2 linked regions of the Stegostoma tigrinum genome follow. The protein of the gene in region 2 interacts with the protein of the main gene of each other region in a biochemical or structural test. Links are inferred from orthologs where the notes say so. Each region holds a gene or a part of one and is shown on either strand. Other genes may lie near its edges.

What was found. The genes of interacting proteins can lie anywhere in the genome.
Region 1: the proteins of ETS domain-containing protein Elk-1-like (region 2) and serum response factor-like form a complex in vitro, tested with the Homo sapiens proteins (2 studies listed by BioGRID). The link is inferred for Stegostoma tigrinum from reciprocal best matches to the Homo sapiens genes ELK1 and SRF.

Annotation. Positions count from the first base shown.
Region 1 is NC_081357.1:7,496,752-7,503,650, forward strand, and holds the start of serum response factor-like, read right to left. Parts: upstream 3,013-6,899; 5' UTR 2,815-3,012; coding exon 2,293-2,814; intron 1-2,292. UniProt on the Homo sapiens protein: SRF is a transcription factor that binds to the serum response element (SRE), a short sequence of dyad symmetry located 300 bp to the 5' of the site of transcription initiation of some genes (such as FOS).
Region 2 is NC_081364.1:11,900,030-11,907,103, forward strand, and holds the start of ETS domain-containing protein Elk-1-like, read right to left. Parts: upstream 3,018-7,074; 5' UTR 2,954-3,017; intron 1-2,953. UniProt on the Homo sapiens protein: Transcription factor that binds to purine-rich DNA sequences. Forms a ternary complex with SRF and the ETS and SRF motifs of the serum response element (SRE) on the promoter region of immediate early genes such as FOS and IER2.

The DNA.
Region 1 (6,899 bases), on a different chromosome or scaffold from region 2:
GTGAAATGAAGAATAGTCAAGGTCTTTTGATCAGGGTGAGGGAGTCCAAAACTAGAGGGCATAGGTTTAAGGTGAGGGAAAGGATTTAAATGGGACAACTGTTTCACACTCAAGGTGGTGCGTGTATGGAATGAGCTGCCAAGGGAAGTGATGGAGGCTGGTACAATTACAACATGTAAAAGGCATCTGGATGGGTATATGAATAGGAAGGGTTGACAGGGAAATGGGCCAAATGCCAGCAAATGGGACTAAATTTATTTCTGATTTCTGGTCAGCCTGGACGAGTTGAACCGAATTGTCTGCAAATGCTGCACAAGTCTATGACTTTACTTGTGCCAGTGTTTCAGCAGCTAAGGTAATTTTAACTCCTTCTGTCTTTTTAAAAAAAAAACTTGCCTTCCCAGCCAGCCTAAAGCAGTGTTTATTCATCATCACCAAGAATGCACCATATTAGAATATTATCTGGAAGACTATGATGTGATATCTATGATATCTAAAACCAATTAAGTTTCCACCTTCTGAATCACTCAAGGTTAGAAACTTGGGAGCACATTTCAAACAGACTTCTCTACTCTCGGATTCACAATTAGATTGTTTGAACTACATTCCCAGCAGTACAGTGCTTAAAGAGCTAAGCTCTTCAAGATCACTGCTCCTGCGACAAGGGAGTTTACTCTAACGTTATAGTCACGGCTTTTCTTCAAAACATGAGATGCTGGTCTGGTCCCTTAAAAAGGAGTACTGTTTCAACATATATCCATCTGTACAATAAGCCCACCTGTCTCTCCATCAGGTAGCTCTGTATACATCTACAAGACCACTGTCATCATACAGAATCATAGCAACATTACCTCCCACTGTCCACACTAATACTACTGTTGCTACATACAATCATGTGTTACCTTCCACTGTGCAGACCACACCAGTCACCATAGAAAACACAATGTGGTACAGTGCTTGTATCAAAACCATTGTCACTCTATAGAATGACAGCAACACACTACGTTGTCTATGGTCACAGTGGTGTGGGTATAAAGGACCACAGAAAGACAAATTCCTGTAGTGTCTGTAACACTGTAGCTATATAGAACCAGGGCTTTTATTTCCACTGACCCTATGTAGTATCAGCTGCAGAACGACCTCCCCAATGATATCTCCAATCTCCCTTCAGCCCTAGCTCCACCTTCCACTCTTTTCCTTACCCTCCCCAACCCGCTCTCTCCTGCAGTCACACCTTCAACTCCTTTCTCCTCTTTCAGCACCACTTTCCCTTCCCAGTCTCCTCTCCCTCATCAGCTCACACTACCACATCTAACCACCCACATTCCCACTAAGATTACGGCAGCTATCCAATGGGCCATTACTAAGGATCATTTGTTTACTTTACCTCAACCCCCCCCCAACCAAAAGAACCCTTGCACATTGTTTAAACAGATACATCTTCTTGAATGCCTTAACCGTCTTCACAACACTTCAACGGTTCAGTGCAGACCCAAACCATACACAGACACACAGTTTTGCTCCGAGCACATTTATTTTTCTGCAGACCACTGAAAATCTCTCCCTGGAACAAGAGTCACTCTTCTCCCCGCACCACCCTCACCCTGCCCCACCCCTACCTGTGGCAGGGAGCCACTCCTCTCCCCCCAAACCAGGCAAGGAGTCACTCCTTGCCCTCTCCTCTCTCTCTGCCACTCCATTTCCCTGTTCCACCTCTCTGGGACGGGAGTCGCTCTCCCCACCTCCACCCCACCCCACCCCCTCTCCCTCACCTCTCTGGGACGGGAATCGCTCTCCCCACCTCCACCCCACCCCACCCCCTCTCCCTCACCTCTCTGGGACAGGAATCGCTCTCCCCACCTCCACCCCACCCCACCCCCTCACCCTCACCTCTCTGGGACAGGAATCACTCTCCCCACCTCCACCCCACCCACCCCGTCTCTGGGACAAGAGTCAGAGTCACTCTCTCCTTCTCCACTCAAACCTGCCCCCATCTGGGACAAGAGTCAGAGTCACTCTCTCCTTCTCCACTCAAACCTGCCCCCCTCTGGGACAAGAGTCAGAGTCACTCTCTCCTTCTCCACTCAAACCTGCCCCCCTCTGGGACAAGAGTCAGAGTCACTCTCTCCTTCTCCACTCAAACCTGACCCCTCTGGGACAGAAGTCACTCTCCCCTCCTCCACTCAAACCCAACCCCACCACCGTACTCTCTGGGACGGGAGTCACTCTCCCTACCTCCACTCAGAACGTGACCCCCGCACTCTCCAGGACAGGAGTCACTCTTAGACTCACCTTCTTCATGATGCCAGTCTTCCTCTTGCTGAAGGTCGTGTATCTCCTCAGTTTGTTATCGATAAATTCCATTTTAATTTTCACTCTGCCCCTAGTTTTCTTGCCAGGCTTTAGTCCGGCTCCTGGTGCAGTCCCTCCTGGGGCCGACGCTGCCCCATAGCCTCCAGCCGGCGCTAAGCTCCCCGGACCAGGCTCTAGCCCCGGGCCGTGTCCGCTCACCCCTGCCAGGCCCGCCGCAGCCGCTGCTTCCAGGTCGGACAGGCGCCTTTTGACCCCCCGCCTGTCAAGCGGAGCCGGGGCCGAGGCGACCACCAGCTCCTCGTCCTCGTCGCTGCTGGGTTCCGAGCAGCTGTAAGGGGGCCCAGGCAGCGGGGCTTCTCTGTCCCGGGACACCAGCACGGCAGCGGCTGCTGCCTGGGGGCCCGGGCCCGGGGCCGGGGCCGCTGGCTGCAGGCTGCCCGCCGGTGATGACGACGAGCTGTTGGGCTCAGGAGGAGCGGTGCCGGCCGGACTCTGCAGCATGGCCCCCGGGAGCGGGGGAGAAAGAGTGACCCCTGCCCCGGTCTAGTCCCTAAATCTCAGTCAGAGCCGATCTCTCCTTGTTATCTTTCGGGGCCACTTGTCCCGGTCTCACCCAGGTCTTTTCCAATCTATCGCCGCTCTTAGTCCGGTTCTGCTCTTGGAATAATCCCAATCCGTCCTAGTCCTTTACCCGGTCTATCCCCCCCACCCCCCAAAGTGCACCCCCGTCTATCACCCCCCCCCGACCCCCCCCCCCCGGTCTGTCCCTCCACACCCAGTCTGTTCCCGGTCTCTTCTCCGTTTCCCCCCCCCCCCTGCGACTCCCAGTCTAACGCCGGGGACACTGTCTACAATGTGGAAGCCAGAGACACCGGGAAAGGAAACCTCAGCCGCATTACTCTCAACCACACTACACTACACATTAAAATAGTGCCAGGCTAAGTGCCCCCTCTCCTCAGCCAGACCCTCCCTGACCCGTCCGGAAAATACCTTTCGCCTCCCTCCCACCTAGGCCCTGGGCAGTAGCGTCCTCGGAATCCGCAGAATCCACTACTCTTAGGGGCTGAGGCGTGCAGGCGGAGAGCAGTGATACGGCCTATACCCGGCACTATTTCCACCATATAAAGACACAATGTTTCCTTTTATGGCGCGGCCGCTCCTTATTTGGTGAGTCACCGCTCAGCTCGCTGATTGGTCCAGAGCCGAGGCCCCAACCCCCACCCGGAATAATCCACATACCAGAGAGACCAGGGCCAGAGACAGTGGACAGGACAGAGAGAGGGGACAAACTCAGACACAGTGGACTGGACAGAAATGCCACGGCCAGATGTGTTAGTGTGGACAGACAGGAGAAAATGGACAAGACAGAATGGATGGGAGTGCACAGACACAGAGGACAGAATGAATTGGAGAAAATGCTCCCAGCCCACAAGACAGGTTAGAGTATGCTGAACAAGCTGACCACAGTGTTCATCATGTTCAGTCTGGGGAAGATTATAGCTACCTCAATCTGAATCCTGAAGTGAAAAAGTTTTTACAGCACAAAAAGAGGCCACTCAGCCCGGTGTGTCCCAACCAATCTTTTCTATCCCCTCCCCTGTCTGCTTTCCGGAGAGACCACTCTCTCCGTGACTCCCTTGTTCGCTCCACACTGCCCTCCAACCCCACCACACCCGGCACCTTCCCCTGCAACCGCAGGAAATGCTACACTTGTCCCCACACCTCCTCCCTCACCCCCATCCCAGGCCCCAAGATGACATTCCACATTAAGCAGAGGTTCACCTGCACATCTGCCAATGTGGTATACTGCATCCACTGTACCCGGTGCGGCTTCCTCTACATTGGGGAAACCAAGCGGAAGCTTGGGGACCGCTTTGCAGAACACCTCCGCTCAGTTCGCAACAAACAACTGCACCTCCCAGTCGCAAACCATTTCCACTCCCCCTCCCATTCTCTTGATGACATGTCCATCATGGGCCTCCTGCACTGCCACAATGATGCCACCCGAAGGTTGCAGGAACAGCAACTCATATTCCGCCTGGGAACCCTGCAGCCATATGGTATCAATGTGGACTTCACCAGTTTCAAAATCTCCCCTTCCCCTACTGCATCCCTAAACCAGCCCAGTGCATCCCCTCCCCCCACTGCACCACACAACCAGCCCAGCTCTTCCCCCCTACCCACTGCATCCCAAAACCAGTCCAACCTGTCTCTGCCTCCCTAACCGGTTCTTCCTCTCACCCATCCCTTCCTCCCACCCCAAGCCGCACCCCCAGCTACCTACTAACCTCATCCCACCTCCTTGACCTGTCCGTCTTCCCTGGACTGACCTATCCCCTCCCTACCTCCCCACCTACACCCTCTCCACCTATCTTCTTTACTCTCCATCTTCGGTCCGCCTCCCCCTCTCTCCCTATTTATTCCAGTTCCCTCCCCCCATCCCCCTCTCTGATGAAGGGTCTAGGCCCGAAACGTCAGCTTTTGTGCTCCTGAGATGCTGCTTGGCCTGCTGTGTTCATCCAGCCTCACATTTTATTATCTTGGAATCTCCAGCATCTGCAGTTCCCATTATCTCCAATCTTTTCTATTCCCATTTTCTAATGCTTGATAGGACAGAGGCCAGTCCACAGAACTGTCCGGAACAGATTGATCAATGTCGAGCCCAGACAGAACATTATACATAGCTATGGCATTTCAAATGCTCATCTAAATACTTATGAAATCTCTTGAGGGTTTCTGCTTCTGCCAACCTCTTAGGTAATGAGTTCCAGATAACCGCAACCATCTAGGGGCAAATGAATTTCCTCCAAACCCATTTAAACCTGTTGCCCCTTAAAAACTGTGCCCTTGGTTATTGACCCCTCGACTTAGGGATAAGGTTCCTCCCCATGTACTATTTATTACTGTAAGAACTTTGTACACCTTAAGCAGAAGCCCCTTCAGCCTTCTCTGTCCAAAGGAAAACAGTCCTAGACTGTCTAGCCTCTCTTCATAGCTGAATCATTCCAGCCCAAGCAGCATCCTAGTGAATCTCCTCTGCATTTTCTTTTTTGCAGTAATTCCTTCCCATTGGGTAGTGACCAGAACTGCACACAGTCCTTCAGCTATGGCATAATCAATGTTATCCACAACTCATTCACAACCTTCTTGCTCCACTAATAAAGGCAAGTCTCCTATATGCTGCCTTAAGCAGCTTATCCATCTGCCCTCCAGCCTTCAAGAATCTAAATGATGATGCAAATTAACATCCTTCTGATCCCCTGTACTTCCTACAGTGCTATCTTTCAAACGGTACTCCTTTGTCTTGATGGTCCTTCCAAAACACATCACCTCACACTTCTGGATTAAAATCCATTTGCTACTGTTCAATCCATCTGATCAACCCCTTTATATCCCCCTGTAATCTAAGGCTTTCTTTCTTGCTATCTACCACACCAACCTTTTTCATTTTACCTCCAAACGTACACAAACATATGTTGATCATTAATGTACGCGACAAAGCAGCAGTGAACTCGGTGGTACACAACTGAACACAGGCTTCCAGTGACACAAACACAGTTCTTCATTATCATTTGCTTCCTGCCAGGAAGCCAATTTTGTATCTAATTTGACAAAGTGCCCTAGATTCTATGGGTTCTTACCTTCTTAACTAGTCTGCCATCCAAGACCTTGTCAAAAGCCTTGCTAATGTACATATAGACACCATCAACTGCACAATCATCATCTACACATCTAGCCACCTCCTTGAAAAACTCAAATATAATCTGTCAGAACCATCAGCCTTCCTGCTCCTCGAAAACTGCTTGGCCTGCTGTGTTCATCCAGTTCTACGCCTTGTATATCTCAGACCTCATTGCGCCCGAGCAAAATCACTGCGGATAGAACAAAGAAAATTACAGCACAGGAACAGGCCCTTCAGCCCTCCAAGCCTGCACTGACTAAGATCCTCTGTCTAACCTGTCATCTATTTTCTCAGGGTCTGTGTCCATCTGCTCCCTGCCCATCCATGTACCTGTCCAGATATATCTTAAAAGACGTTAACGTGTCTGCGTCTACCACCTCCACTGGCAACGCGTTCCAGGCACCCACCACCCTCTGCGTAAAGAACTTTCCACGCATATCTCCCCTAAACTTTCCTCCTCTCACTTTGAACTCATGACTCCTAGTAATTGAGTCCCCCACTCTGGGAAAAAGCTTTTTGCTATCCACCCTGTCTATACCCCTCATGATTTTGTAAACCTCAATCAGGTCCCCCCCTCAATCTCTATCTTTCTAATGTAAGTAATTCTAATCTACTCAACCTCTCTTCATAGCTAGCACCCTCCATACCAGGCAACATCCTGGTGAACCTCCTCTGCACCCTCTCCAAAGCATCCTTTTGGTAATGTGGCGACCAGAACTGTACACAGTACTCCAATGTGGCCGAACCAAAGTCCTATACAACTGCAACATGACCTGCCAACTCTTGTACTCAACACCCTGTCCGATGAAGGAAAGCATGCCATATGCCTTCTTGACCACCCTATTGACCTGCGTTGCCACCTTCAGGGAACAATGGACCTGAACATCCAGATCTCTCTGTTCAT
Region 2 (7,074 bases):
ACACTGTATGTTGTGAAATGCTGGTGTAAGAAGATTCAATGACAATTTTTAAAAGGGAATTGGGTAACTAACTCAAGGGGACAAAAATTGCAAGGTTATGGAGAAAGAACAGAGTAAATGAGACGACAGTGGACATCTCTTCCAAAGAGCTGACACAGGCACAACAGGCCAAATGGCCTCCTTCTCATCTTATGATAAGAAACCCAATATCTAATGGACATACATATGAAGAAATGTTTCTAATATCACTTCGTTCCTCACCCTCCTGCTGGCAGGATTATTTTGGTGACCATTTCTCACTGATTACCCATAGAATTTCCCCACATCTCCTATCAAAACCATTTTCAAAATCATTATTAAAGTCTCATTTAACCTTTTCAGTCAACAGTCTCTACACTTGAAATCCCTCTCCATAACTACAATTTCTCAATTCTAACATCGTGTGCATATGAAACCCATTTTATGACCTGATTCCACCCACAATGTTGACAATAAATCTTACTATCCACAAGCAAAGGTAAACTCATAATCCAGGCAGCTGTGAGTATCAGCACCACTGTGCCAGCCAATTAGTTTGAGCAAGAGGTTTGATTTTAATTTGAGACAACAAGGTGTGGAGCTGGATGATCACAGCAGGCCAAGCAGCATCAGAGGATCAGGAAAGCTGACATTTCAGGTCTAGACCCTTCTACAGAATTGGGTGAGGGGAAGGGGTTTCTGAAATAAATAGGGAGAAAGGGGGATGCGGATAGCAAATGGATAAAGGAGAAGATAGGTGGAGAGGAGACAGACATGTCAAAAAGGCGAGGATGGAACCAGTAAAGGTGAGTGTAGGACAGACAGGTCAAGGAGGCGGGATGAGGCTGGTAGGTAGGAGATGGGGGTGGGGCTTGAGGAGGGAGGAGGGGATAGGTGGGAGGAAGGAAAGGTTAGAGAGGCGGGTGCGAGCTGGGATGGTTTTGGGATGCATCTGGGGAAGGGGAAATTTTACAGTTTATTAGAAGTCCTAAGGTACAGCAAACTGTTCGGGTGGCATCATTGTGGCACTGCAGGAGGCCCATGATGGACATGTCATCTAAAGAATGGGAGGGGGAGTGGAAATGGTTTGCGACTGGGAGGTGCAGTTGTTTATTGCGAACCGAGCGAAGGTGTTCTGCAAAGCGGTTCCCAAGCCTCCGCTGGGTTTCCCCAATGTAGAGGAAGCCACACTGGGTACAGTGGATGCAGTATACCACATTGGCAGATGTGCAGGTGAACTTCTGCTTAATGTGGAAAGTCATCTTGGGGCCTGGGATAGGGGTGAGGGAGGAGGTGTGGGGGCAAGTGTAGCATTTCATGTGGTATACTGCATCCACTGTACATCCACTCTACATTGGGGAAACCCAGCGGAGGTTTGGGGACCGCTTTGCAGAACACCTCCGCTCGGTTAGCAATAAACAACTGCACCTCCCAGTCGCAAACCATTTCCACTCCCCCTCCCATTCTTTAGATGACATGTCCATCATGGGCCTCCTGTAGTGCCACAATGATGCCACCCGAAGGTTGCAGGAACAGCAACTCATATTTCGCTTGGGAACCCTGCAGCCCAATGGTATCAATGTGGACTTCACCAGTTTCAAAATCTCCCCTTCCCCCACCGCATCCCAAAACCAGCCCAGTTCGTCCCCTCCCCCCACTGCACCACACAACCAGCCCAGCTCTTCCCATCCACCCACGGCATCCCAAAACCAGTCCAACCTGTCTCTGCCTCCCTAACCTGTTCTTCCTCTCACCCATCCCTTCCTCCCACCCCAAGCCGCACCTCCATCTCCTACCCACTAACCTCATCCCACCTCCTTGACCTGTCCGTCTTCCCTGAACTGACCTATCCCCTCCCTACCTCCCCACCTACACTCTCTCCACCTATCTTCTTTTCTCTCCATCTTCGGTCCGCCTCCCCCTCTCTCCCTATTTATTCCAGAACCCTCACCCCATCCCCCTCTCTGATGAAGGGTCTAGGCCCGAAACGTCAGCTTTTGTGCTCCTGAGATGCTGCTGGGCCTGCTGTGTTCATCCAGCCTCACATTTCATTATCTTGGATTCCCCAGCATCTGCAGTTCCCATTATCACCGTGTTCTAACAAAAGCTGGACTCCTTCTTCAGCCAAATGCAGGAGGTGGGCAGTAGAATATAATGTAAAATTAGGCATGTAAAACCATTCTAGTCACTTTCAACAGTTCAATCTTCAGACATGGTTGACAGGAAATTAACTGCATCAACTCAGTCGTCAATGGGAGTTATGGCATCACTATTAGCAACCAGCTAATTTGGTTTGGTACTCTAAAGTACAGAACTGAGGGAATGCAGCCTTTTCATGAGATGCTGTCTTGTGAAAAAATAAACCAAGGTTCGATTTACCTTGATAATATATTTTAAAAGTTGCATGGTGTTACTCTATTAAATTAAAGATCTTTTTTAAGAGTCCTGGCCAACAGTGCTGCCTCAACCCCATATAATAAAGCCAGTCACTCATCATTTGCGTTAGTTGGCACAGATTAATTGCTGCAAGACATGTACTATGTGAAACACTTTGAGGCCTTTCAATAACATGAGAAGAAACTTGCAAAGTATTACAGTTTGTTAGTTCAACGCCAAGGGAACTTATCTTTGAAAATGTGCAAAACCCTGTCATAATCAAGAACAGAAAGTATTGAGTCACACTAAATCACAAAGAGAGTTTTGTTTAACAAGTAAACCTTCAGTCAGATCACTGTCTCAGAGCAGACATGTCTCTCAGGCTCAAAACATTCAACTTAAAATCATGCAGCTTTTAAACGAAACATTAGAAAGGAGAAAAACATAAGCTACAAAAGAACCTTACACAATAATGGTAATACAGTAGGAATGTCCAGCTGGCTAGCTACAGAATTACTCCAGAGATTTCTCAGAATTTTATTAGGAGCAACCAACTTACCCGAGTTCAAGTCCAGCGATGAATGAAAATGCTGGTACTTGCACAAATAGTGCAGTGTTCAGTGGTAGAGATAATCTTCTCCATATCCAGGAAGTGAATAATTTGTGCTAACAGCTGCTGTGTGCACTGACCTCTCTCCCTCTCTGCAGTTTATACTTTCAGCTCTCCTGTATTTCGCAATCATTGAAGATTACAATTTAAAGTGACAGGGTAGGTCTGTATTTGTCAGCTTCTGAACAATTGCTGGACGAGGAGACATTTCGATAAATATGCTGCTGAATAAAAATAGAAAGTCTCCCATTGTCCTTGCCAACCTTGCAAATACATTCCTAAAGGAAATAATTGGGGCAAAAGCATCATTTTCAATTATCCTTAACAAAAGTCATGTGTCACAGAGATCATTACAGTGAGAAAATTGCCCATTCAGCCCTTCGAGTCCACAGCAACCCTCCAAAGAGCATTTCACGCAGACCCACTCCTTTACTTGTGAGAGCATGGAATGCGTTGCCAGCAGCAGTTGTGGAAGCAAGGTCATTGGGGTCATTTAAGAGACTGCTGGACATGCATATGGTCACAGAAATTTGAGGGTGCATCCATGAGGATCAATGGTCGGCACAACATTGTGGGCTGAAGGGCCTGTTCTGTGCTGTACTGTTCTATGTACTGTTCTATGTTCTATGTTTACTCTATCCCTGTATTTCCCATGGCTAAACACCCCTAGCATGCACATCCCTGGACTCTACAGGGTAATTCAGTCTGGCCAATCTACTTAACCCACACACCTTTGGACTGCAGCAGGAAACTGGAGCACCCAGAGGAAACCCACACAGACATGGGGAGAATGTGCAAACTTCATACAGACAGTTGTCCAAGGCTGGAATCAAACCTGAGACCTTGATGCTGTGAGACAGCAGTGCCAGCCATTGAGCCACCTTGCCACCTTCACACACTACATTTGAGTATCTCAACAGCAACTCTAGGCTGCAGGATGATGGTTGAATTCATTTCCCAGTTCTGCATACACCCAAAGGCCTAAGTCTTGTTGACATGTGGTTTACTAGGTATTACCAGCATATTCGATAATACACCAAACGTGGGGCTTCAATATAATGCACTGGTAGGTTATTCAACCACAGACCTGTCTTCTCTAAGTGTCCACACAAAAGCACTTTGGAGCAGCATTATGGGCTCTTGTATAACCCCATCTCCCTCTTTTCCCTCCTTTCTCTAACCTGGTGTGGCTGAGCCCAATTGTAGCCAGATCAATTTAGCCCATGCTAAAATAAAAACAGGAAATGCTGTAAATACTCTATCAGATGCCCTTCAGAAATTTATGTATATTCCTTCAACAGTCAAACCCATGAGATGATTTTCTGAAGAAGGGTCCTGACCCAAACCTCAGCTTTCCTGCTCCTCTGATGCCGCCTGGCCTGCTGTGTTCCTCCCGCTCCATACTGTGTTATCTCTAAATAGGAATCTGATATAGGTTTCCTTATTGTTCAGATGTTCCAGGGATGAGTGAAGGGTCAGGGAGATGGTGCCTGCCATGGATGGTGGCCTATTCGTCCCTAGAATATTTTTCTTTACTCCTTTATGCACCAGTGGATTCACTTTATTGTCTGTAGGAAGCAGAGAATAGCATTATTTTTCCTAAGTGGTGCAAGATCATTTAGCAAGGCAAATTGGCTCACTTTGCAACACACGGATGAATCATGCCAGAGGTTTGGCAACTGCATTCCCAAATACCTTATTAACATCGAAGAGAAGGTAAGAAATAGTATGGTGCAAATCTTATGTATTTCGCTAACAAACAACTGAAATTCATGAATGTCATTACTCATTTGTGGGATGGGCAGAACGTCGTTCTGGTTTGAGGTGAGCATTCTGTCAGTGATGAACACCTCTCAGGGTTCTACTGCAAATTATCTCCCCAACTTTCTAAATCTTGAAACATGTGATGAATGTCTTAGTGCCATTACGCAAATACGGCCAAATGTGAAATAATAGGATTTAAAGGAGAGATGTCAGACAGTAAGTAAAGAGAAGAGGACAGGGACAACAGAAGGAAAACCTGCCAGAAATGGCTGGAGTTAAAAGTGAGGTACAGAAACAGAGTTAAAGCAGAGATGGGGAATGACAGAGATACAGTAAAGGGAATGAAAGGGCATAGGACACTGAGTGTATGGACTCAGAAGCAACAAATAATTTAAATTTTAATCATGAAATGGAAGGATAGGGGATGCACGTAGAGATCATCAGAGGGGTGAATCTAATGACTGTAACAAGGTTCAGCCAGTGAATCTAAAGGGAATGGAATATTAAAGTGATGGGATTAGGATTCAATAAAAGTCTAAATGGGTGAATTTGGAGAAATGGTAGGGTGTAGGGCGGAGGAAATTCAACTCACACCATTTACAGAAGAGAAAGAAGGGCATCATCAGAATGCTCGCCCAAAAATGACAGAGACCTCCAGAGGGTCAGACCTCGCTTGAACTAAATCTGCAAGGCGCAGATGTCCGTTTGGTTTTCCAATGTAGCTTGCTGGATAATAATGGAATATTGATTGGATTAGACAGCTGTTGAGGGAGCACAAGAGAGATTCTCTATACAGTGGGACTGAGCACTGACCGACAATGACCAGCAGCTTATATGGGTATGTGTATTTACATACTTCGGTTCCTCCCGGCTCCACGGAAATTAAACTTTGAATAAGTTTTCTTCCTTATCAACCTGCTTCAGATAAGACCATAAGACACATTAGCGATGCCTTTCCAGTCCATGCAGGGCAAATGGACTTATGTTGAACATAAGATTTTTCCATTTACCAGCCCCAGTTATAGCTTGGCTCTGTAACAGGCATGAGAACATCAATTCACTGATGCTTAGTGCCCAGTGCCTGCTTCAGGCAAGCACCTGTAACATCTAGAAGTTACCAGACAACAAAAGGTTGAACTTTGGGCTGGAGGGCTCCGGTTCAAGATGTGAAGATGGGGCTCAACGTCTCGAGTGAGTCCTTTGGAAGCACAATTGTATCTGGGACTAGTTTGAGAAACAGTCAGATGTTGTAAGGGAAAGATCAAAGGAGCTGTAGGAAATTCTTGGCTGTGGAGAGAATGTTCCCACTTGTGGCTGAGTCCAGAACTAAGGGATACTGTTGTAAAATTAGGGGATTGGACATTTTGGGCAGAGATGAGGATATTTTCTCTCAAAATGCTGTGCGGCTCTGCCTCAGATGGTGGTGGAGACAGTCACAGTTTCATACATTCTTGTTTCAAAAGGGACCGGGAGACTATAGGGCTTAGACAGGAATGTGGAATTCAAAACAAGTAGATCAGCCACGATGTTATTGAATGAATGATGGAGCAGGTTGGAGGGACTGAGTGGCCTGTCTTCATTCCTAGTTCATACGTTTGTCTGTTCTCCATCTGGTGATCGTGCGATGCATTAGAAATTGTAATTACAATGATACTGTATTGGTAATTCAGAAACTCAGACTACTGTTTTGCATTGGGCTTAAATCCCACCACATCAATTGCTTAAAGTTCCGTAAATTCCATAAGTATTTGGAATTTAAAAAAAACAGTCCAATGATGACCATGTAACTGCTGTTGATTGTTGTAAAATGCCCATCCTGTTCAGCAATGCCCTTCGAGGGAAGGAAACCTGCCATCCTTACCTGGCCAGGCCTACATATGCCCCCCCACCCCACACCAACACTAACACCAACACGGTTAACATTTATCTATCCTGGGGGCAATTAGAGATAAGCAATAAATGCTGGCCTAGCCTCTGATGTCCACATCCCATGCACAAATAAATTGATGTTTATAAGTGTTTTCGGGTAATTGTACAAAAACCTCATCAAAAAATTTTACCTCTCCAAAAATCCAGTAATGAATTGGGTTCTTCTGACCTAGTTACAACTGCACTAACTTTGCTTTCATCTGGAGTACAATGTAAAGTATTAATTTCCTTAAATAAGGATAGATATTAATGCATCAGAAACCATTCAGAGGTTTACTAGACTGATACAAGGAATGAGTAGCTTGAGGTATGAGGAAATATTGAGCAGGCTCCACTTGATCCACTGAGGTCTAGAAGAGGTGACTTGATTGAAACAT